3 linked regions of the Arabidopsis thaliana genome follow. The protein of the gene in region 1 purifies or fractionates together with the protein of each later gene. This does not show direct contact. Each region holds a gene or a part of one and is shown on either strand. Other genes may lie near its edges.

Region 1 (9,875 bases):
GAAAACTTGTTGTGTTTAGCTATAACCGGTTGGGACGAGAAGCTGAGGAGACTGATGCAGAGGAGATCATTGAGATGGCTGGTAAAGCCACTTTATCTGAGCAGCAGAAGCAAGTTCAAGAGAACATTCACTACCAAGTTGAAAAATTCTGCTCTTTGATGGATGGAATCCTTCTTCCTGATGTTAGGAGGAACGAGTCGGGGTCACAATCAACAAGCCCTCGTCCTCCTCGTAGAAGTGGTCTTACTTTCGCCATTGGTAGTAATAATGCTTTTCCACATGCAGATCAGCCCCGTAAGTGTTTTACTTTACTTGAATCGATTTGTGAACTTATTACTCAGTATTTTTCTTTCAGCTTAATTAGTATTCTCACTGATTCTTCTTCAGCACAGTTGTTCCCGAGACAAAGCCTTTGAAACTCAATGACGTCTCACAGAGATTAATGGATCAAATGGGTTACACCCTCGAGACCAAACCGTCTGTAATACCTCACAAAGACGCTGGTCAAGGTTGTTTTATCAAAGGCGAGGCAGATGTTGGAACCGTCTTAGCCTTTTACCCTGGAGTTATTTACTCTCCTGCTTTCTACAAGTACATACCCGGGTACCCGAAGGTTGATTCACAGAACTCATATCTCATCACCAGGTATGATGGGACTGTAATAAATGCTCAACCTTGGGGTCTTGGGGGAGAATCAAGGGAAGCATGGAACGGGTCCTACACACCTGCGGTCAAAGCAAACACCAAAACCGCAGAAAACGGGTCAGACAGGTTATGGAAAGCGTTGAGCAAGCCTCTCGAAGGTTCGGGTAAAGGAAAAGAGGTTCTTGAGAGGAGAAATCCGTTGGCTTTTGGTCACTTAGCTAACCACCCAGCGAAAGAGATGACTCCAAACGTTATGATATGTCCTTATGACTTCCCTTTGATGGCGAAAGATCTGCGGCCTTACATTCCGAATATATCTTTTGGGGATTCTGGAGAAATAAAGATGAAAAGATTTGGAAGTTTCTGGTTTAAGACAGGGAGTAAAAACGGGTTAGAAGCTCCGGTTCTGAAGACACTGGTCTTGGTGGCAACGAGGTCGTTGTGTAATGAGGAACTTTTGCTGAATTACAGGCTGAGCAACTCTAAGAGACGACCAGATTGGTATACTCCGGTTAACGAGGAGGAAGATAGGAGAAGATGGAGCTAAATTTCTCTTTTATGTTTTAATGAAACTTGAAAGGCTCTGTTTCAAAACATGCTCCTCGGTTTTCTTTAGACTATTAGCGGGACGTCGTTTCGCTGATTGTGTCACTATTTTTGTTTTTCGATTATTTTTGGAAGACATTTTATTCTAATATTTTATGTTGTTCTGTTGTTACATACTATGGACGAAGAGCAACACACGACTCTGTGATGAAACCAGTGCTGCAACTGTAATAGGGAAATTACGTAATGCCAATGCAATTATAGAGTTCTCAATGGATGGTTGGAATGGAACAATGGTGATGATCTGTGTTGTTGAATGTGATAAATGACTTAATGATGGATTTGGTTTTGTAGTCAAAATTATTGAATTGAAGACGTTCAAAAGTTATCGGAAAATATGACTACCGAATAATTACCACAAAAGGAATAGCGAATTCAATAAAGTAGACATAAAATGCACAACTTCAACATAAACGATTATATGAAAACTATAATTGTATAATCTTATAACTCTATTATCTATAATCATTGTGAGTATATCAAATGTTGTTTAAACTCACTCTTGAACTATTTGATAACTTAAACATGTAATAATTATCTACGCAAAAAAAAGACATAGTAATTGAAAAAAAAGAGAGTAAATGTTTACATGTTTATGATCTTCGTAGAGAATCTTAGCTAGTTTCTTTTAAAACACGTTAGTCATATAATAATGCAAACAAAAAAATTTATAAATTTTTTGTTTGTAAACATTTCATATTGATCACACTGTAACATAAATGCCTCGTGACTTCTTAATGTATATAGGTATAATAGGAGAGTACATGTAGATGTAGATATACACTTCTATGACGTATATAAACAGAAACTGAATCTTTTTATTACGCAATCAAAGCCGTAACATTCTGTTTTGTTATATGACAGGTATAATTTACTTTGCACATACATCACAATTCACACATTATATTATATAAAAATATTTATGTAGATCGGTCGTTGCTAATTTCAAGGGGGAGGAACATGAAAGATTGAGAGAGAGAGAAGTAAAACAGTGTTTGGTCAAATCTCTCTTAAGAAATAATCTTATGAAATGAACCGTCACTTTCTTTGCTCTGCTCTGCTTTTTATTTGGATCCTTCTATTCCAATTCATTGACCAATCACTTCATTATCTCTAATTCTCTAACATTTTTTTTATATTATCCTTTTGATTTATATATCAAATTATTTCAATCATGATACAAAAACGATATTGGAGACATAGCACAAGTTGCGTCTGTCTGTACGTATTTTCTATTTATCTAGTATAGTCTAACAAAAAGAGAAATTGCCCATAAAAAGGGAAACTCAATTTCTAACAAACCTTTCTATTTTTATAAAGAGAATTTGCTACTATTATTACTGATATAAAAAGAAATAAAATTTCTTGCTTTCTATCATATTTGATATTTTTTGATGTCTTCGTCTTAAGGAAATGGTTACAAAGACAAGTATAATCATATAATTCAAATAGAAAACGATATTAAAGACAGATCACAAATTGCGTGTGTAGATATTTCACCAAGTGTTAACAAAAAGAGAAATTCATATAAAAAAAAATATTTATAAAACTGCAACTATTAATTTATTCAAACTAATTAAAAAGAAAGAGAAAAATCTTCCTATAAAAAGAAATGAATCTTTCTTTGTAATCAGAAAGAAATAAAATTCTTTTTACTTTTCCAGAATTTGATTTTTCTCATGTGTCTTATCTTATGAATATGGTTACCACCCAGTGAGACTACAGAGTGTTCTTATCTGTCTCTGAATCCCATTCTCTCTCTCACACAACATTATATAAGCTTACACAGTCACTTCACAATTTCCACAAATTCGATATATTAAACTATAATAAACTAAAAAGAAATGGGTTCTCATAGTGTTGAGTTCTCTGTTCTTGTCCTATTTCTTGTGTCCTTTCTTCTTGGCTCAACATCAGCAGAAAAGCTGTGCAGTGACAACGACGGCGACAACGGTTGTTTCCGGTCTAGGGTTTTGGCAGCGCAACGAGCTGATCGAGTGAAAGAGCTTCCGGGACAGCCGCCAGTGAAATTCCGGCAATACGCCGGTTATGTGACGGTTAATGAAACACATGGAAGAGCATTGTTCTATTGGTTCTTTGAAGCCACTCAGAATCCAAGCAAAAAACCTGTCCTCCTTTGGCTCAATGGAGGTAAGTTAAACTAACTCACATCCACTCATTTTTCTTCTATTACGTCTCATAGTTAAAAGATTAAAACCCACCAATAAAATAAGGTGTATCATGCTTTGTGTGCATTTCATCTACTTGATATTGATTTCGTAATAGATATTTGATCCTTGCGCAATCTTTATATTCGAATTTTGAAACTTTCATGAGTTGGGTTAGAAAAACAATTCCATTTAACAACATTACACGTAAAATAACAAAAAATTAACGTACGTATACTATATAAATAATATAATACAGCTGAAATAATTTTTAACGTGGATTAAAATAAACCATAAATAAATAGGTATGTATGTATCAGTCATTTGTATGCATGGAGACAAAAAAAGGTAACTTGGGGAGAATATTAGGTGAAGCTTCCTAATAGTAAGACGTATCTCATTTGGCACCATGTCAAAATCAATGAAACGTATGTGGTTAGTAGTTATCATCATCACCATCATGATGAGTTTTGGTTGTGATTGGTTAAACTTTAAAGTAATTTTGGAAGCTTGTAATGATTCCACATGCTTGTTAGTTGTTACATGATCCTATATATGCTAGCTTTTATTCTCTTGTAGACTCATTTGCTATATATTTAAATTTACAATCCACATATCTCAACGTTCCATCATGCTTTGCTTTTAGATGGTTTTTTCTTTTAGATGTTTATGGTTTCTTACACATTGTTAATAGAAAAATACTTTATTTTTAAGTCATTTTATTCATAAAGAGCTAAACAACGTAAAAATCCAAATTTTGATGAAAATAGTCATAAAACAATAAAATCTTTGATAGATTATTGTAAGTCTTTTTGTTCAGCATAACACGCTTGGAAAATATTTTGGTGAAAGATTAAAGATAATTAGTTTGGTGGAAGATTAACCATATGCTTATATTTTATTACATATTAATTGAATTCATATGCATGTGATGGATATTAAAATTATTACCTCCACATATTTAGGCTTTAATAGGCTCCCGTGGGCTCATTGCGCCCTTTACTTTAATATGAAGGCACAGTAATTATTGACACAAAAGTTATGCATCTATCTATTATCATCATATCAAGAAAAGTCAATTCCATGAAACTTAAACGGTCCTTCGGTCCATAATTCATTATGATTCCAAACATTACACATGGTCCATGCACGTATATGCACGCCCTAAAAGTTTTCTCAAGTTTGTTTTTATTCGTGTGTTTCTTGATAAAGGCAAGTTTATCATTATAAGCAACAAAACCCTTAAATTAAATGGACCCTATGCAATAATAGTGAATAAAAAGTAACATAATGTAGAGTCAAATTAAAGGAGTAGGCCTATATCACCTAAGTTTAAATTTGGTGGTACTTCCAAATAATGTACATAGTAAAATGTATTTAGTTATAGTATATTGAGATTTCAATGGTGAAAAATGTGAATATAGGACCGGGATGTTCATCAATCGGATTCGGAGCTGCAGAAGAACTGGGACCATTCTTCCCACAAAACTCGAGTCAGCCTAAACTCAAGCTAAATCCATACAGCTGGAACAAAGGTATGGGTATACATAACTTTCTAAATATTCAAATATTATCTCTCTTTCTATCAATAATGTAACTGAATTAATGTTTTTGAAATGTGATTTACATAGCGGCGAATTTGTTATTCTTGGAATCGCCGGTTGGAGTTGGATTCTCCTATACTAACACAAGCCGTGATATAAAACAACTCGGCGACACTGTCACAGGTTCGGTTTGTTATATATAACATTAGTTTTATTAATGAAATATTAGTTTTGTTTGTAAGTTAATAATTAAAGTTTGTGTATGATGAACAGCGAGAGACTCGTACAACTTCCTTGTCAACTGGTTCAAGAGATTTCCCCAGTACAAGTCACACGACTTCTACATTGCCGGAGAAAGCTACGCCGGTAAATTATTATTATTATAAGTTAGAAATACACGACGTCGTTTCTACATGTGATTATTACAAAACCAAAAAACAAAACATTGAATATGTATGATTTGCGTGGAATTATTAGGCCATTACGTCCCACAACTTTCGGAGCTCATCTACAAAGAAAACAAGATTGCGTCCAAGAAAGATTTCATTAATCTCAAGGGTTTAATGGTCAGAGATTTTCTTAAATCAATCCAATAATTATTAGTTTCACTTGCACTATATCTAGTGTTTTGATGAAGACTTTGAATTGTATATATATACAGATAGGAAACGCGTTATTGGATGACGAAACGGATCAAAAGGGGATGATAGAATATGCATGGGATCACGCGGTGATATCAGATGCATTGTACGAGAAAGTGAACAAAAACTGCGATTTCAAACAAAAACTTGTGACCAAGGAATGCAACGACGCTTTAGATGAGTATTTTGATGTATACAAGATCCTTGACATGTACAGTCTGTACGCTCCAAAGTGTGTCCCCACCTCCACGAACTCCTCTACTTCTCATTCAGTCGCCGGAAACCGCCCCCTACCCGCATTCCGAAGCATTCTACGACCCCGTCTCATCTCTCACAATGTAAGTAATTCGTCTTTTTAATCACTTAGAAAAAATTCTTTCGTAACCAATTTGACTAACCGGTTATAATTGATTATATACAGGAAGGATGGAGGAGGATGGCCGCCGGGTACGATCCATGTGCATCAGAGTATACAGAAAAATATATGAACAGAAAAGATGTTCAGGAGGCACTTCACGCTAATGTCACCAACATCTCTTACCCTTGGACTCATTGCAGGTATTATTACGACGTTCAATCTTATTTTCGGTTAGGTTTTCCAGATTTTGTTTTTCATGAAATATAAAAAGCACATATAGTTTGGTTTGGTCTTTTTTAGCAATATATGTTAACGTTTTAGGATTCTAAGGTATATATTGAGGAAGCAGTTTTTTTTTTCCGGTTGTTTGGTTATGGTTTGTTCGAATATAGGCAAAGGAAATTGAATCAGTTTATGAATTGTCACATGCACCTACATATTAATACTCTTACTATCATAGTTTAACCAAAAGCGTGTGTGGTAAATGATTGATAGATAGGAACTTAAACCATATGCATGGTTTACTATGTGCAGTGACACTGTCTCATTCTGGTCTGACGCTCCCGCTTCTATGCTTCCAACCTTAAGAACACTTGTTTCAGCGGGATTACGCGTATGGGTTTTCAGGTATAACACCTAATCCTTGGCATTTTTATGTAAGAATTAACTGAAAACGAGCGATAACCGTTTTAAATTGTTTGGTAAACTTAATAGTGGGGATACAGACGGGCGAATCCCCGTGACCGCAACCAGATACTCACTAAAGAAGCTAGGTCTTAAGATAGTCCAAGACTGGACACCTTGGTACACCAAACTACAGGTTAATTTGGTTCCAAGTTACAAACTTTAACTTTTCTTCCAAGTAAGTGTGTGATTGACTCTAAAGATATATATATATATATATATATTTTTCTTTCACTTGCCGTTAGGTCGGAGGGTGGACGGTGGAGTATGACGGTTTAATGTTTGTGACGGTAAGAGGAGCGGGACACCAGGTTCCGACATTTAAACCTAGAGAAGCTCTTCAGCTCATTCATCATTTTCTAGGCAATAAGAAACTTCCTACTTTTCCCTTTTGATATTTTCTCTACCCACAGATTTTATGATCTTTATATAATTCTTAAAACAATAATAAACAGATTTGAGCAAAATAGGCCATTATATTAGAATTGTACAAATGTTTTATCGCGTTTTACATGTTTTCTCGTGTTACAGTGACCTCTAAAACTCTCATCTCTTGGATAATTCTTTAACAATATATAGTCATCCAATGATCCAAACAACACAAATTTTAGCTAGGCTTACTTCTATATAAGTTGGAAGAAAATTTTAGATGTCAATAATATGATAATTATGAAAGAGATGATGATGAAATTTAGAAAATATTGTAAATTCAGTGTTACACATATTTCATATTCAACGTCAAATACATTCGCCAAATAAATGTACATGGCTCTTATATGATTCTCTCTTCTCTTTGAGTTTTCTTCATTGTTATGGGTATGACAACAAATATCATTATATTTATTTCGTTTTAAGACAAGATTATGAAAGAAAAAAAAAATTGTTAATCAATAGAATTCAGATGTATCTTTTTTTGATATAACTTTTTTAATAAGTCAATAGTAAACTAAATTTGAATAGAATCACGATAAAATACAACAACATTGAAACGAATCTCTGCCAGGTACACATATAGCATTGTTAAACGGTGGTTTGTTCACTCCACATGAGTCATAGCAATCTTCTTTCTTATGACACGGTCCTTTGAATTCACAATCTGAGGAAGCATCCATAATTCCTGTTGAATTCATCACAATTTAAAAATATTTACTTGTTAAGTTACCATCATAGATATTTTTGTTATGTATAAAATGCCTATGATTATTACATATTTATATGCATATATTTTTGTCGACAACATATATTATACTGAATTTTGATTCGGATAGTTTCGAAGTGATAACACATATACAAACATCTAGGCTCCAACCTATATGCATATATGATTGAAAAAGCGTATATTTATTAGACAAGAAACCAATACTTACGAGTGGATTGAACATTAACAAGGAAGGAAACAATAATACAAAGAGCAACAATGTGAAGTTTCATCGATGTCATCTTTCGATCTATATAATATTGATATAAGATCCTTTTTTCTACTTCACTGAATAAACTAAGAATTTTGATTGTTTTATACTGAATTTTGAAATAACATGCATATAGCCATTAAATTAAAAACATGCATATAGATCAAAATCAAAATCTATATATTAAAACATGCATATAGCCATTAAATTAAAAATATACATATATATCAAAATCAAAATCTATATATTAAAAACATGCATATAAGCCATTAAATTTTGAAATAACATGCATCTAGCCATTAAATTTTGAAATAATATGCATATAGCCATTAATAATAACTCAAAATCAAAATCTATATATTAGTTATTTTTTACTTTCAAAATTAACTCAATTTTTTTCCTAATCAATAAGAAATTGTTTATAAGATATTAAACTTTTATTTGAAAGCAGAAAAACAAATCCTCTTATAATCAATGAAGTAAGGGGTCATGAAGTAATTGTTATTTATATTGTCAATTAAAAAAGTATTAACCTCTAATCTGATTTATTTAACTATGAGACCTTTATATTAGTTAAGGTTTATCATTTCAAAACTTATATTATTAATTTAACTAAAGTAGCAAACCCTCTAAATTTCAAAACATTTTTATTTTTATAAAACATTTTTAAAATCAATTTCTAACTAATTCTATTATTTTCTGATATATCTATAGATACGATAGGCAATGAATCTTCTATGATTTAAGCACAGATAATAGTGTTTTGCTAAAAAAACGATTAAAATAACACTACAACAATTACGGTTGCAATTTGAAACAAAGCCGACAAAAGATTCATACATTTTGTTTATATATAGCACACCATAATATAACAATCGTTACTTGTTCAACTATAATGTCACTAGTCTTTTAGTTCAAAATACATATGATAATTACATATCTATATAAAGGTATTATGTAAAAATTTATATCAGCTGATAAAAAAAAACTTACGAGCGGATTGAACATTAATACAAAGAGAAACTATGATGAGGAGAGCTACAAAGTGAAGCTTTGACGATGTCATCTTTCATATACTTTTTTTTAGTCACCACAGGAACACACTAATTGTTCAATTTATAGCTAAATCTGAAACAATCTCAAAATAAAGTTACCTTTTAAATATTTTCAAAGATTTTTACTGATTAAATTACTTGACATTTTTGTATAAAATTCATATATGCGATTTGAACATAGATACCGTTCAAAGATTTACATTAATGTTCAGATATTGCTTGCCAATTTTATTGATCAAGGAAAGACGAAGTCAACAATTAAAACATGTATACGTTAATATCCGATTTACTAACCAAATGTTGTGCCAGAGCCCAGAAGTGGTATCATATAAAGATAGTCAACATTTGGTTGGTTGGTATCATATAAAAGGAATGTCAAATACCTTGCAATATGATGTTTAATATTTAAGTATTTAACTATTTTATTTGACCTTCCATTTTTTTTTGGGTGTGTAACGGATGATTTTCTACCACTTACAATTGGGCTAGGCCCTTTACAAAAGAAGATAAGTCTTTTAAGCCAAAAAGTCAGCAAATAGCAATAGTGTTTGAAGAGTCGGAAACGAAACGAAACAATATCGAAAAAATAAGATATATCGAGGATATCGAAGTGAATTCCGTAGAGCTCTTTCAATTGAAGTTCCGAATAAAGTGCTTTGAGTAGTTTTCTGAGTCAGAAGAAAAAGAGAGATGACGGAAGCCGAGACTCCGAGCATGGTTCATCGCTTGAAGGAGTAACAACATTAGTTGACCTTCCTTTTAAGT
Region 2 (7,108 bases), on another chromosome or scaffold:
GCCTACCTTTCTTTCTCAAGTTTTGACTTCAGCTCGTCAATCTTTGACTTCACCTCAGTGGACACACTGCCAGAAAGATACACAAGGATTAAAGAAAGATTCAAATATAAAACAAACGACACTTCAAAAGCAGGATACTCACAATCCTCAGATGATTCTATCTTTCTGGAACAATAAATGACAAAACCATGCTACTAGATACCAAGTAGTGATACAAATCAACCGATTGCTTCAGAGTTGAGTATCAAAATCAAAAGTCTGAACATCTAAACGTTCTGTATCTAAGAAATCAAACGAGCTTCATATCTATCAATCAACCATTTGCTTTCTAGTTTAAGGGAGACAAAGAGCAATACCAAAACCAGTTGCACAATAGATAGCTGAGTGCTTCAGAGCTGATGAACAAAAGACTGATCATTCTGTATCTATGAAACTAAACGAGCTTCATATCTATCAATCAAACATTTGCTTTATAGATTATGAAATTCAAGAGCATACCACAACCACTTTCACAACAGATCAACCAATATCAAAAAGGCTAGAACAAATGATCGAACACTTTATCTAGCTAAAACTAGTTGATATTTGGTTTGCGATACAAGATCCAGACTAATCCACATATAAAAGAGCTTGATATCTATCAATCGAACATATATATGCTTTCTAGTTTAAGCGATACATGAGCATACCATAACCAATTTCACAACAGATCAACCAATATCAAATGCTAGAACAAATGATCAAACACCTTAGCTTCATCTAGCTATATCTACTTGATAAATTGATTTGCGATACAAGATCCAGATCTAATTCATGTACCAACGATAACAATTAGAAGAAACGCTCCATCAACAAATGCACATGAGCGATCGACATGAATATCTCGATAACTGCATAGTGAATGATGAAATCGAAGTTTACATAACCTAATCAGAGAGAAACATGTAACGGAGAGATATATGACCTGGAAATGCTTTCTTCCTTCTTCTTACGGCCATCTTCGTGCGCTTTCTCTCTGAATTGCTGCAACGCCGACATGATTCCTTTGAAATCGCTACACGATCAACACGGAAACACAATCGCGAGTCACATTTCAGCAAAAAAACAGAAGAAACGAAGAAAAAGAAGAAGACGAAGCAAAAGAAAACACGAGAACGGACCTAGAAACATCGACATCCAATTCGTCCGGGAGTTTTGCTTTCGGTGTTGGCTTCTTGAGCGATTGCGGCGGCTCTGGCCGAGTTCTCTTAGTGCCTCTTCTGGTAGACGACATTGCAGACGAAACTTAGAGAGTGTGAGATTCGATGAAGCGAAATCAATAGCTCTGGCGAGTGGCGATTATCTGCTCTCTCTCGCTCGTGTGATTTGGATTTGAATTTGAATTTTGAAATTCTGTTTGTTTGTTAGAAGACTTCACACTTCACAATAATATATAGCCCACTTACGTATTGTGGATGCCGTCGTAGCTGATCACGTACTCTCACTATTTTCGTTTTCTTTTTTGATTTTTTTTTCTTCTTTAAGTTATGGCTAACATAATTACTATTATAAAAATAAAAAATTATTCTATGCATATAATTCTTCAAATTGTGGGTAACAAAAGTCACTGTTACTTCTATTTACATCAATTTTTAACCCAAATGAAATATGAGACTTGATACATCATGGGCCTCTATTTTTTTGTCAAAACATCATTGGGCCTCATGGCTTAAAAATGCGTATGAAAACTTCCTTCAACTCAAACCCAAATTAACTCAAATTATTGCATGTCGATCTCATTGTTATCTTGAGATTGATCATTGAAGTATAGAAAGTTAGAAACTTTCACCCCTAGGCCTAGTTTATGGTTTACTCTAGCGTATATCTGTCTTACCTCTTCTCTCAAAGCTTAAGGCCATTGTGTTTACGTTTATGTATATCTTCACGCTTTATTTTTATTTTTTTGGTTTAGGTTAATACCAATCCTAAAAACTAAATACATATCACCGTACCATTTAACGTTTTATCAAAGTTCTGTGGTTCAACACTCTAAATATTACATGTGACGCTATACCATACGTTTGCGAAGCTTGGAATTTTTCAAAAAGTATTTGATCTCACATAGCTTTATTCAGAACCTCCAAAAGAATTGCACTTATAATCTCCAAGGCATTGTATAGTTTAGGAAATGAAATCTTATGCATGACGTGAAACGATGAAAGTATAAATCTTTTTTGTAAAACACTAGACCAAAAGAGTTTCCACTATTAATTAACATCAATTTTTAATAGTTATTTTCCTGATTTAAGAATAATTACACGGGCATTGTTTTACCAGTTTCATTAAAATCTAGTTGACTTTTTAACGTATTTTATCTTATCCTGATCTAAGAATAATTTTATAGGCACCGTTTTGCTAATTTAATCAAATTGGAAACCCAAATAAATAGAAACAGAAGTGTGGATATTAATTGAACTTTTAAATGTGTTGTAATGTGTTGAAGCCGCACCAGGCGCATCTTGTTGCCATGCCCATGTTAAGGACCACAAAACATGGAACATGAATGAAAACTCATGCACTAATACTATCTATATCCCAGATATTTGCATTGAAAGTTACACTGTAAATTTACATATTGTCCAATAGAATTTGTAAAATTATATCTATATTTTTTTTTACTAACTCTCATTAAATTCACAAACTATAAGAAATTCACATATACATGACTATAATTTTCTCATAAAACTTTCAAATCATAACATTAATTTGTTGAATATTAACATATATATGACTAAACACTGTATTGAATTCAGCTGTGATGCATTCGTTAATTATTATCTTTTCATCAGAAAAAATAAACTTCAGGTAGGTTGACGAAGTTTTCATTTATTCTATTAAAAAAACCCGGGAAGTGACTGTACTACAAATCAATATCGAGTTTCTTGCTTCAAGTATTCAAACCTGTTAGGAGATCTAAATCTAAATCTTTAACGGGACTACATCGATCGGAAACTTCTCGCCAGTTGTGTACATGTGCTGTGTATGCCTCTACTCTCTAGTATCTATATGAAGTATAAAAAATTGTAGCCCGATATCTCCTATAAATACACCCAAGTCACATCAACCCAAAGTCACACACACAAAGAAAAACAAAAGAACAAAGATGGGAATCATTGGTAAGAGTGTTTCTCTAACTCTCTTTGCACTTTTGTGCTTCACTTCCTCTGTTTTCACCTTAGGAGTGAATCAACCTGGTTCATCAGATCCCTTCCATAGCCTTCCCCAACACCTTCCCCTACCTCCAATCAAACTACCAACTCTTCCACCGGCCAAAGCTCCCATCAAACTACCAGCCTACCCACCAGCCAAAGCTCCGATCAAGCTACCAACTCTCCCACCAGCCAAAGCTCCGATTAAGTTACCAACTCTCCCACCGATCAAACCTCCTGTTCTCCCACCAGTTTACCCTCCTAAGTACAACAAGACCCTAGTGGCAGTTAGAGGTGTGGTCTACTGCAAAGCTTGCAAGTACGCGGGCGTCAACAACGTCCAAGGCGCTAAACCCGTTAAAGGTACTCACTTATATACATTCATGATATGAAAGTCTATATATTATCCTAAAAATCACTCGAACCCTTAATATACGCACCTGTGGACCGTGGTATGTCCGTATGTGAAAAGTCCACACTTCAATCCCATGCATTCATACTTTTTTTTTGCTAAAGGTATGCTGCATGCATACTTCATCCTTTACATTTATTTTAGGCATATGTTATATGTATCATAATCTCATTGTCGGTTGTTCAAAACTTTTTGTGTAAACTTTTAACTATATGCTACCAAGCGAGATTAGTTCAGAGCCGGTCGTATCATTCTGGTCCCTTCACGAATTGATAAACATAAAATATACCATGGAAAACTAAGTAACTTCTTTCAATGCTTTTGAATTTAATTTAATTATAATCAATAGGTTTTTGGTTAAGACAATCTACTGTAGCGAAGCCTTGTCATTGTTTTCCCCAAGTTTCCTATAATACCAAATTTAGCTCAACTAGTAAGAAAATCTTGTTCAAGTCATGCCCCTTCTTAAAAAAAGAGGGTAAATTTACCATAACTAATCTAAACAAATACATGCTCTTGCATTATTTTAAAACAATTTCTGTATAACAAATCTATCCAAGTACTATATTTTCACTTTTTATTTCGTTTGTGTTATCTGGGGATACAGATGCGGTGGTGAGACTTGTGTGCAAGAACAAGAAGAACTCAATATCGGAGACAAAGACGGACAAGAACGGATACTTCATGCTCCTGGCCCCTAAGACGGTGACCAACTACGATATCAAAGGTTGTCGAGCTTTCCTCGTGAAGTCTCCAGACACCAAGTGCAGCAAAGTGTCGTCACTCCACGATGGAGGCAAGGGCTCCGTTCTAAAGCCGGTCTTGAAACCAGGATTTTCCTCGACCATCATGAGATGGTTCAAGTACAGTGTGTACAACGTTGGTCCATTCGCATTCGAACCTACCTGCCCCAAATGAGATGGTGTTATAAGAGCTACTTAAACTTTTATTAATCAATGATTGTGTTGAATATGTATCAGCTTGGTTTCTTTGTATGGGCTTTTCTGGTAGTGTTAATCTTTCTAATTTGCTTCTTAAATAAAAAGTGGTGACGTTTACATATTAGGTTTTTCTTGTTAATTCCTTATCTTCGTGACCCCAAAAGAAAAAAGAAAAAAATAGTTTGCTAAATAAAAGAGACTCTGAATATGTTATGTGGATGTTAATGAACACAACCGTTGATATATTAGCCTATATATTAATTCATTAGGAATCGAAATGACCAAATTTATCTCCAACACCATCATATCAGAACAAGTATTGACAAGTGTTGAGCAACTAGTACAATAATTTTCTTTCATAATTATACTGTACATTTGTTCATTTTGTACGAAACCTCTGATGCCATATATAAAAATGTTATCTATGATTTCGACCTACGAGTACGAACAGTCATCTTTGTACGTAAGTTTGTCATTATTGTATAATTGATTTTAGGAAAAAACTTTCTGTAAGATCAGTTAAAATTTAGTAGATCTCCTATCATTTATCATCATTATATATCTTCAATTGAAAGATGAATCAAAATTAATTAGGCAACTTGGCAAAATATATAAAGTTTATTGACTTTGTTAAACTTACATAATCTATATATTTTTGACAACACATATATCTTTTGGCAAAAACATGGTAAATAGATGGGTTGGTATAACTTAATAACACTTTACAATCGTTCAAAATCACCCAATAACAAATTACTTACCCAAGACTTCATTCCATAATAAGATCTCATTGGATTAACTTGTTCCTACATATTTATATTTTTAGTTGCACTCTGAAAAATGGTCTAGCTAGTTCATGTGTTATAGACGATGTATTGTACTACTATGATAATCACATGAATTGTATAAGAGCGTATGACCCGAAAGAGAGGATTTGGGAAGTGGTGAACGGTGTGGAATTAAAACTACGTTTGGACGGTCCACGATCATTCACAACAAGTTATGGTAGAAAATTAGTTGTGTTTTTGCATAAAATAGAGAAAATGAGCGAGACAACAGAAATTTGGTGTGCAGAGATTGCCCTCGAAAGGCGCGAAGGAGGAGAAATATGGGGAAAGGTCGAGTGGTATGATCTTGTGCTTGATGGAACATCTTGCATTATGAAATGTCTAGCTGTTAAAAATTTGATGTTTCAACCATGTAATGGTGGTCATTATCGTCTTGTCGTTCTATGGTTAATAATGATTGATTTTGATATCAATAAACATCTTCTTTTATGGTTAGAGATTAGCTTGGGTACCTTCTATCATTAAAAGAAAAAGAAATATTTTGATGTTTAGCTTTGTTTAGTGCTTCAAAACTTCTCTAGTTTCTTCATAATTACTCCGTGAACGATACACAAAACACAATGAGTTTGGAAAGAAAAGTTTTTAATAAGCTAAATGCCTAAATCCAACACAGATGACTCATATTTGAATTTTTGTGTAATAACTAATAACGCACATTTATCATATTTTGAATTATGGGAAGTTTTTGAATGTATCTGCAGTATTATCTTCACAAAGATTTTGTGGTCAAAAACAAGATTTTGTGAAATCAATGTGTTGACTAATAATGTATTGACTAATATAATCCCATATCTATGGTTAGATACTCTTTTGAAAATTTTGAGAAGGTAAATGCGTTGACTAAAAATATGTTGACTAATAATCTCATTACTATGAAAATCACAAGTCAACAGGTCCACACACCAACAAACGTTGGCAGTTCCTAACTCTGACAGTGGCGCGTGACATGAGATTACAATTCTACAAATAGCTAGTCATATTTACCCTAATGGGAAGGTCAATATGTATGTACCACTTGTACATTTCTCACCAAGCCAATCCAAAAGAACAAATTTCTTTCCAAATAATAAAATTAAATATATGCAAAATCTAAATAAAAGAGTTATACTATTTTATGCCAAAAAAATTAATTAACTTTCTTACCATAAACACGTTCATATAATGTTGAACTAAATTTTTTTTTTCTGATCTTATATAACAAGAGATTATATTGCTTGTAAAACATAAATATACATCCATTGAACTTCTCTTCTCAATCAATGGAGAAATCACCAAGATACAGAGATAAAGCAAAGAACTTGCTTCCTTCACCAAGCAGCTGCACCACTACACCGACCAGATACGTTAAAGACGACATGTATGAAACCACTTTCATCCGAACCGATCCTTCTTCCTTCAAGCAAGTCGTCCAACTGCTCACCGGAATCCCCAAGAACCCGACCCACCAACCCGACCCGAGATTTCCTCCTTTTCACTCAATCCCTCCGATCAAAGCCGTGACCAACAAGAAACAATCTTCGTCCTTCCGACTCTCCGAACGTCGCAACTCGATGAAGCATTATCTCAACATCAACCCGACCCATTCCGGGCCACCCGAGATTCTCACTCCCACCATCTTGAATTTTCCGGCTCTCGATCTCAGCCCTGACACTCCTCTCATGTCTGATCCGTTTTATCGACCGGGGTCTTTTAGTCAGAGCCCTAGTGATTCGAAACCGA
Region 3 (7,185 bases), on another chromosome or scaffold:
GGGCTTTGGTTTGATGACCCGGATCGATCAAACGGGTCGGGTATAAGAGGCGTAACCGGGCTGAGAACGAGAGATGGGAAATCTAAGATGCTTGGAGAGAGGATCTCCGGTTTACGGGGAGAGAAAGCTGAATTAACCGGGTTAAAAACCGGGTTTAAAGGATTGATTTTGAGATTCTTCATTGAATTACGACGCTCGTAGAGACGAAACCCTGATGCTGAAGAAGAAGACTGTTTCTTGTTAGGTACGGCTTTGATTGGTGGGATTGAGAAAGAAGAAGGAGTGGATCTTGGGTCGGGTTGATGATGGGTCGGGTTTGGTTTGAGAGATGAACCGTGTTTGGGTCTCTCGGCGGATCCGGTTAGCATCTGGACGACTTGTTTGAAGGAAGAAGTATCTGCTTGGACGAATGTTGTCGGGTACGGGTTACCGGATTCGGATCTTGTGGTTACGTGTCGGGTCGGAGTTGTTGGTGGTTTGTTACTTTCACTGCTACTGCTCATACCGCAACTGTTGTTGCTGTTGTGACATCTCGGCGACGGAATCAGATTCGTCGCTTCTCTGTATCTCGGTGAATTCTCCATTGTAAGAGAAGAGAGCTTTTAGAGAGAGAGAGAGAGAGAGAGAGAGAGAGAGAGAGAGAGAGAGAGAGAAACTGTGTTTTGTTTTTGAGTTTAATAAGCTTTGTGTTTTGGTTCGGTAAGAAAATGTTTTCGGTGGGCGCTATTGGCTCTTTAGTCTTTTTTCTAGTTTCTTTAGGTCTTTGCTCACGCGCTGATTTAGAGAGTGCGTGTCACGCGCCGTCGTTGAAAGTGGGAGGAAAAATGTGCTCTATTTGGTTTTAGTCTTGGCAATAAATGATAGAGGTAGAGATAATTTACCCAAAGAACATTGAATATCATGAGAGGAAAATGTTGAACTCAATAAGCAATGATGGTTTAGATGACTAGGACGTTTATGTGACCTTTTGGTCAATAGAATTAATATAACTCGAAATGAATGTTATGGTAAGTTGATTTATCTACGTGTCGTCGTGATATATATATTCAACCAAGAAATGCTTATCTTGGAAGTAATCTAATCATTGGGTTTTAGTCGTTTGACTAAGTGAACTTAACATATGTGGAGAGATGTTGGGCTTTAATAGTTTTTTGGGCCTTATATTTATTGAAAATCTATGTGTACTTAGGTTGTTGCTTTACTTGTTGCCAAACGGGTTCGGTGTGGGTTAAGAAACCGAGCCCAGTTAGTGTTCATTTATTTGGGCCATGTATTATATATAGTTTATATTTTCACATTGGTGTTATCAAACTATGGAGTATCGATGACATATTCATTATTCAATACGTTAGATGTTTGAATTTTGATGCTAGAATTTAGGCTTGAGATTCAAAACCTTCTTCCTTTTCACTCTTACGATTTTTGGTGAAATGCTTTTATCCAAATAGTCAATACTAGAAATGATCAAACCTTATGAATCTCTCATGGATAGATATTTGATCTCGTGTCTGTTCAAAGAAGAAAATAAGAGTGAAGTTAGAAAAGATTCACACCGCAATATACAATTTCGATAATTAAACAGGTGATCAACACTTTCATCAAATTAGCTTCTTCTCAATGCGACTAAATTCTTCTTTGCTTCATAAAAAACTGAATTATAGTGACAAGGAGAAGTTGTAAAAAAAATCAATCATGATACTGTTACTAGTTTACGCCAAGTGAGTGTGTACAACATACTTTTTCTATTGACCCGAAATGTAGAGGCCTAATTAACCAATGCATAACAACCCGGTTAACATTTTTAAGAGAGCACGTGAGAAGCTTTATGAGCTAAGGAGAATCTTGATCCATGACACCCTATAAAATATTTTTTTTTTTTTAAATGTACAATCGCTTAATCGTCCCGCCACAACCCATAAACTCTTCTTGAATCTTGTTTAACACTTTTTGTTAAAACTGTTTTTTATTAATATCTTGAATTATTATTTGTCCTTTGTAACTTTGAGATTGTGATGGGAAATAATGTCAGCCCCGTGGCCGACAATTACGCAGCTGATTTTTCTCCGTATTCAAGAACAGACTAGAAACCCTATTCGATGAGTCCCCCTTCCCATCGAGCTTTTCACCCTTCTTTGTAATCATTTTTTTTTTTGTCTGCAGCGTAACTATTTTTATCATTTTTATTTGATCAAACAAAAAAGATATACAAGTTGAGAAAGAAAATAATATTCAAGTTATTCATTTAGTTACACATTCTAATTGTAAGATTCTATAGTTAACATTCATTTTGCTCATTCGTTTTGTAATGTAATGGAATCATCTTGAAAGCTGCTATTTTTATTCAAACGAAACTCAAACGACGTCACTTAAAGAGATACAACATAATACCCAAGCATTTAACTTAAAGACTAGCTAACATTGATTAAAATTCAACCGTACAGTAGACGCATAACAACACTCTCTCTCAATCTTTTTAAACATGAAACAATCAAGATAGTAACCAGAGCATCAAATCATCTTCATTTGGGGCAAGACGGGTTAAAGGCAAATGGACCAACGTTAAAGAGACCGTATACGAGCTTGTTGACGACCACCGTAGATTTTCCCAGCTTTTTCTCAGGCTTAAGTTCAGCGCCGACATCTCCACCGAAGAGCTTTGAGACTTTGCTGCATTTGTAGTCCTTTGATTTCACCAAATACACACGACATCCTCTGAAACCGAAGTTCGTCACCGTCTTAGGAGCCAACAACAAGAAGTATCCGTTCTTGTCTGTCGTCGTCTCCGCTGTTATGTTCTTCTTGCTCTTACACACTAGTTTCACCGTAGCACCTGCACAAACCCATAAAAAAATATTAGTCCGATATGTTTATAGAATAAAAGGATATAGTTATGTGTTTTTAATTATTTTTGTGGGAAGTAGTGAAATTTATTGGCCAGACTGTAAAAAACAGTGACTGATGAGTGCAGAAGTGTACATAGTCACTCTCTTTATTTCACACCTATTTTCGAAACATTGACTACTTACGTAACAAAGGTCCCACTTGTAACGTTTTCAAATTTGAATTATTTTCTGAAATATGCGTCATGATTAAGATATGAAGTACGTATTATTTTATAGATATATACACTGTTTGAATGCGTATGCAGAGCCAAGTTGAGTTGTTTGAGAGATTGTTACTGAGGTATGTCTCATGTATGAGTGAATAAACTGAATAATGAAGTGGAAGAAATAGTAGTAATTAACAAAGAAAATAGTTCAAACCTTCGATGGGTTTAGCGCCTAAGAGTGTGTTGAAAGCAGCGTACTTGCAGCTTTTGCAGTAAACCGTACCCCGAACGGCGACTAGACTACGGTTGAACTTAGGCGGGTAAACCGGCGGTGTAACAGGTGGCTTCGTCGGAGGAGAAACCGGAGGCTTAACCGGAGCTTTGGTAGGAGGGTAAACCGGGGGCTTAACTGGAGGTTTGGCTGGTGGGGAAACTGGTGGCTTGACCGGGGGTTTAGTTGGGGGCTTAACCGGGGCTTTGGTTGGAGGGTAAACTGGTGGCTTGACTGGGGGTTTAGTTGGGGGCTTAACCGGGGCTTTGGTTGGAGGGTAAACTGGTGGCTTGACTGGGGGTTTAGTTGGGGGCTTAACTGGAGCTTTGGTTGGAGGGTAAACTGGTGGCTTAACCGGAGGTTTGGCTGGTGGGGAAACAGGTGGCTTGACCGGGGGTTTAGTTGGGGGTTTCACCGGGGCTTTGGTGGGTGGGTAAACCGGGGGCTTAACCGGAGGTTTGGCTGGTGGAGACACTGGTGCCTTAACCGGGGGTTTAACAGGAGATTTGGCCGGTGGGTGGGGGTGAGGGTGAGGGTGAGGGTGGTGGTGATGAGGAGGGTGTGGGTGGTGGTGGCCGTGGTGGTAAGGAGCAGGAGCAGGAGCTAGAGAAGGGGTTTGAGTCTTATGGTTCACTTCTTCAGTGAAGACAGAGGAAGTGAAGCACCAAAGTGCTACGAGACTCACTAATACACTCTTACCAATGAAACCCATTTTTTGTTTTGTTTTTGGGTTAGTGATATGTTTTGAGATTATGAAATGGGTGTATATATAGGTGGAAGGTTCACGCTTCGAGTGTCATGAAATTACTCCCTTTTATTTGTAAATAGTAAATCAAAATCGATCGACATGAATTACCCCATTATTAGTTACTAGTACCATTTTGTGCCCAAAAAAAAAAAAAAAAAAAAAGTCACTAGTACCATTTTGTTACTCTCTTTTTTTTGTTACTCTTTTTTTCTTCTGATAGATATTCAAGATGGAAAACTTTAGTTATCCAACAACATTAAAATGGTCATTGTTTCCTACACATCTGAAAAAATGTGATATGCAAATTTTCTACTATTACGACCAAACAAAAGTCACATCCCTGGTGAACCAATGTTAAAAAGATCTTAACCCAATTTTACCAAAAAAAAAATCTTTACCCATCTAGTAAACATTTGTCGTCTAAAATATATAAAAAAGGACTAATAAGTGTAAGATCTTTTTTTTTTATGATAATAAAATTAGATTTAATATAAGTAAGATTTAGATCGCCTATTAATTAGTTGATGTGTGTTTAGATCGTCTAAGATATGTCAAGTTGGTGTATTTTTATCAAAAAAAAAAAACAATTTGTTGAATAATATAGTCACAAAAAAAAAAAAAAGATATATAGTCACACACAATAACTTTACTATTATCACTGGTGATCCATATAAAGTGAACATTAGTAAATACTTTAACAAAAGTAAGATATTGGGATACTATAAAATTTAGGAAATTGTTTTATAGCATGAGTAATAGTAATGTTGAATTTGAATTGTCATTATAATTTGTTTTGTGAACTTTTTGTTTTGACATTATATCAAAGAAAGCAATTTTGTTTTGAAATCCAAGCTAACATGCAAAAGTTTTTGATAATTTTTATCTATGTATTTAGAAAAATCATAAGTGATGGTAATAACAGGCATTAATTTTTTTTAAAGGAATTTAGTACCATAATTCACATATGAGATAGTAAAAAACTTTGATATAGTAGTCAGGCATCTGATTCGTGATTGTATACTATCGATGTTGATTGTAATCCGAAGTTATAAATTACCAAATCTGGTTTGCATAATTGATTGAATTTTTTTTGGATTATGTCAAACAATTTTGTTTTGAAAGTAGTATGTATAACATTTTGATTGGCATTTGTGACACAGGTTAAGCTACCATTCTATAAAAGTATTTCAACAATTGTCCTACTAAACATGTAGTATTCAATTATTTTCTATATACTAAGTAGAGAGTCGAAGTGACTTTGCCATTACTTATATGAAGAGCAAACAAAACTTTCATTTGATACATTGTGATTAATGGAACCACATTTATGTAAATCTGATGTGTTTTTTTCACTATTTTCTTATAATAGATCACTGAATGAGATCTTCGGGAGACTTTGAGCGTAATTGCTGCATTGAATAGCACATGTCGCTCAATTGCTTTAGAACATTTATTTTCATAATACGATTTAATGTTTTTTTTTGCTAAAAACAAGTAACATAATACATTAAAGTTTGGTCACGTAAGTCTAATATTCTTACACAAGTCAGCTGCTGATAACATACTAAATACATAAGACAACTCTATAATACAAAAATTACTCATCTCTTAACAAGCCAAATATATTCAAATTTGAATCCATCATTATTGAGATTACTGTTCTTCAAATAGTTAAACAAATTACGCTTAGATATTTTTCCTGTTGTTTGTCTGAATGTTTTTTTTGTTTTTTTCTGTGTAAAGATTAATTTTAAAACTTCTAAATCGATTCACGAGTAGGTCTTACCCCACCATTTCTACAATGATCAGTAATATTCACGAACTGGTAACTTAAATTATTACAGTTGTGGGAGAAATGTTTTTGTCCGGAGAGAGACATGTCATGTTACATTTTCGTGTTACCTGCAAAAGTATGGAAAAAAAATGATGGACCCAATATTGGACCCACCCACCCTATCAATTTTTTATTCTTCAAATAAAACCTATCTTTGGATGCTTTGGTCTAAACGTCTCACTAGAGATATAACACAATTATGGGCCATAATTGTTTAAATGTTTAAATCCGATAACGCGATGATGTATCATTACATTTACATAGTAGACTAATCATTCTTGTCGTTGGAATGATTCTCTTTGCTTTTACGTTTTACTGAATTTAATAAAAATAATAAATACGCCCAAAAAAGTATGCATCGTGAACTTACCACATTTCCCTCCAAGAAATATGGCTACTTTCGTGGTAGTCTTTGCCCTTACATTTTTGTGTATATATAAATTTTCATTAGTCTATAATTATAGGATAATATCATTGTTGCAAATTTATTGGTGATTTGTTTCCCCAATCTCTTAAGATTATAAATTGTACGTGTAAACATTTTTGCCGTTATTCGATTTATTATGAATAAAACGAAAATAAATATAATTAAGAAATAAACTCTTAGACAAACAAATACATATATGAAATATACAAGTACCCTTTAGTAACAGTTTTTAAGTTTTAATTATATTATTCATCTTATCCTATTTAATTCATGTTCTTGTTCCCACGTCCATATGAACGGTTAGGTTTGTTAGTGTCCGATATAGTTGTGGGATCTTCACATCAACAAAAAGAAGTCCCAACAATCTCTTAAAACTAATCATGACCAATTGTCTTTATACTACTTTGGTGAAATGTTTGGATTTAATTCTGGTGATATTATGCTACCTTTATATATACAAGTTTTGGCCCAAGATCTGCCTTCATATATCTGGGCTAATGATATACAGTACTTTATTAGATAACTTGTTTGTGCTGTGCGAAGAGAAAATTTTACATTTTGAAAATTCGTTCCAAGTCGTTAATACATGGTAGTTCATTAGTGATTGATTGAAATTTCATTAGTGATTGATTGTATTATTGGCTTATATCTATATACTTTTCTAAGTATAAGTTTTTTAATTGCCAATTTTCATATTCATATATGCGTTATTTACCAACTTGATTATCAGAACACCTATGTACACATGTAATATATTGAACGTTCATAAAAAGTTTCATAGTCCACACATGACATATATATCACATGATGACATTTAATGTCAAATTGAATTCCACGCTTCCTACGTTTTTTTATT

What was found.
Region 2: the proteins of SCPL34 (region 1) and AGP30 fractionate together in Arabidopsis thaliana (co-fractionation; one large-scale study listed by BioGRID). This does not show direct contact.
Region 3: the proteins of SCPL34 (region 1) and AGP31 fractionate together in Arabidopsis thaliana (co-fractionation; one large-scale study listed by BioGRID). This does not show direct contact.

Annotation. Positions count from the first base shown.
Region 1 is NC_003076.8:7,807,797-7,817,671, forward strand, and holds SCPL34 (serine carboxypeptidase-like 34), read left to right. Parts: upstream 1-2,848; 5' UTR 2,849-3,095; coding exon 3,096-3,402; intron 3,403-3,813; exon of another isoform or gene 3,814-3,828; coding exon of another isoform or gene 3,829-3,847; intron 3,848-4,196; exon of another isoform or gene 4,197-4,821; coding exon of another isoform or gene 4,822-4,843; coding exon 4,844-4,954; intron 4,955-5,050; coding exon 5,051-5,146; intron 5,147-5,236; coding exon 5,237-5,329; intron 5,330-5,440; coding exon 5,441-5,529; intron 5,530-5,624; coding exon 5,625-5,942; intron 5,943-6,025; coding exon 6,026-6,162; intron 6,163-6,496; coding exon 6,497-6,589; intron 6,590-6,676; coding exon 6,677-6,782; coding exon of another isoform or gene 6,783-6,812; exon of another isoform or gene 6,813-6,891; coding exon 6,892-7,041; 3' UTR 7,042-7,290; downstream 7,291-9,875. Other genes in the region: AT5G23200 (C5orf35), read left to right, coding at 20-294, 393-1,192; AT5G23212 (Defensin-like (DEFL) family protein), read right to left, coding at 7,609-7,763, 9,049-9,121. UniProt on the Arabidopsis thaliana protein: Probable carboxypeptidase.
Region 2 is NC_003071.7:14,291,272-14,298,379, reverse strand, and holds AGP30 (arabinogalactan protein 30), read left to right. Parts: upstream 1-3,026; 5' UTR 3,027-3,142; coding exon 3,143-3,551; intron 3,552-4,207; coding exon 4,208-4,518; 3' UTR 4,519-4,819; downstream 4,820-7,108. Other genes in the region: AT2G33793 (DNA ligase-like protein), read right to left, coding at 7-66, 965-1,054, 1,161-1,273; AT2G33780 (VQ motif-containing protein), read left to right, coding at 6,649-7,108. UniProt on the Arabidopsis thaliana protein: Proteoglycan required for the timing of seed germination. May function in the abscisic acid (ABA) response.
Region 3 is NC_003070.9:9,886,812-9,893,996, forward strand, and holds AGP31 (arabinogalactan protein 31), read right to left. Parts: upstream 4,205-7,185; 5' UTR 4,033-4,204; coding exon 3,264-4,032; intron 2,831-3,263; coding exon 2,520-2,830; 3' UTR 2,290-2,519; downstream 1-2,289. Other genes in the region: AT1G28280 (VQ motif-containing protein), read right to left, coding at 1-584. UniProt on the Arabidopsis thaliana protein: Proteoglycan that may contribute to the strengthening of cell walls.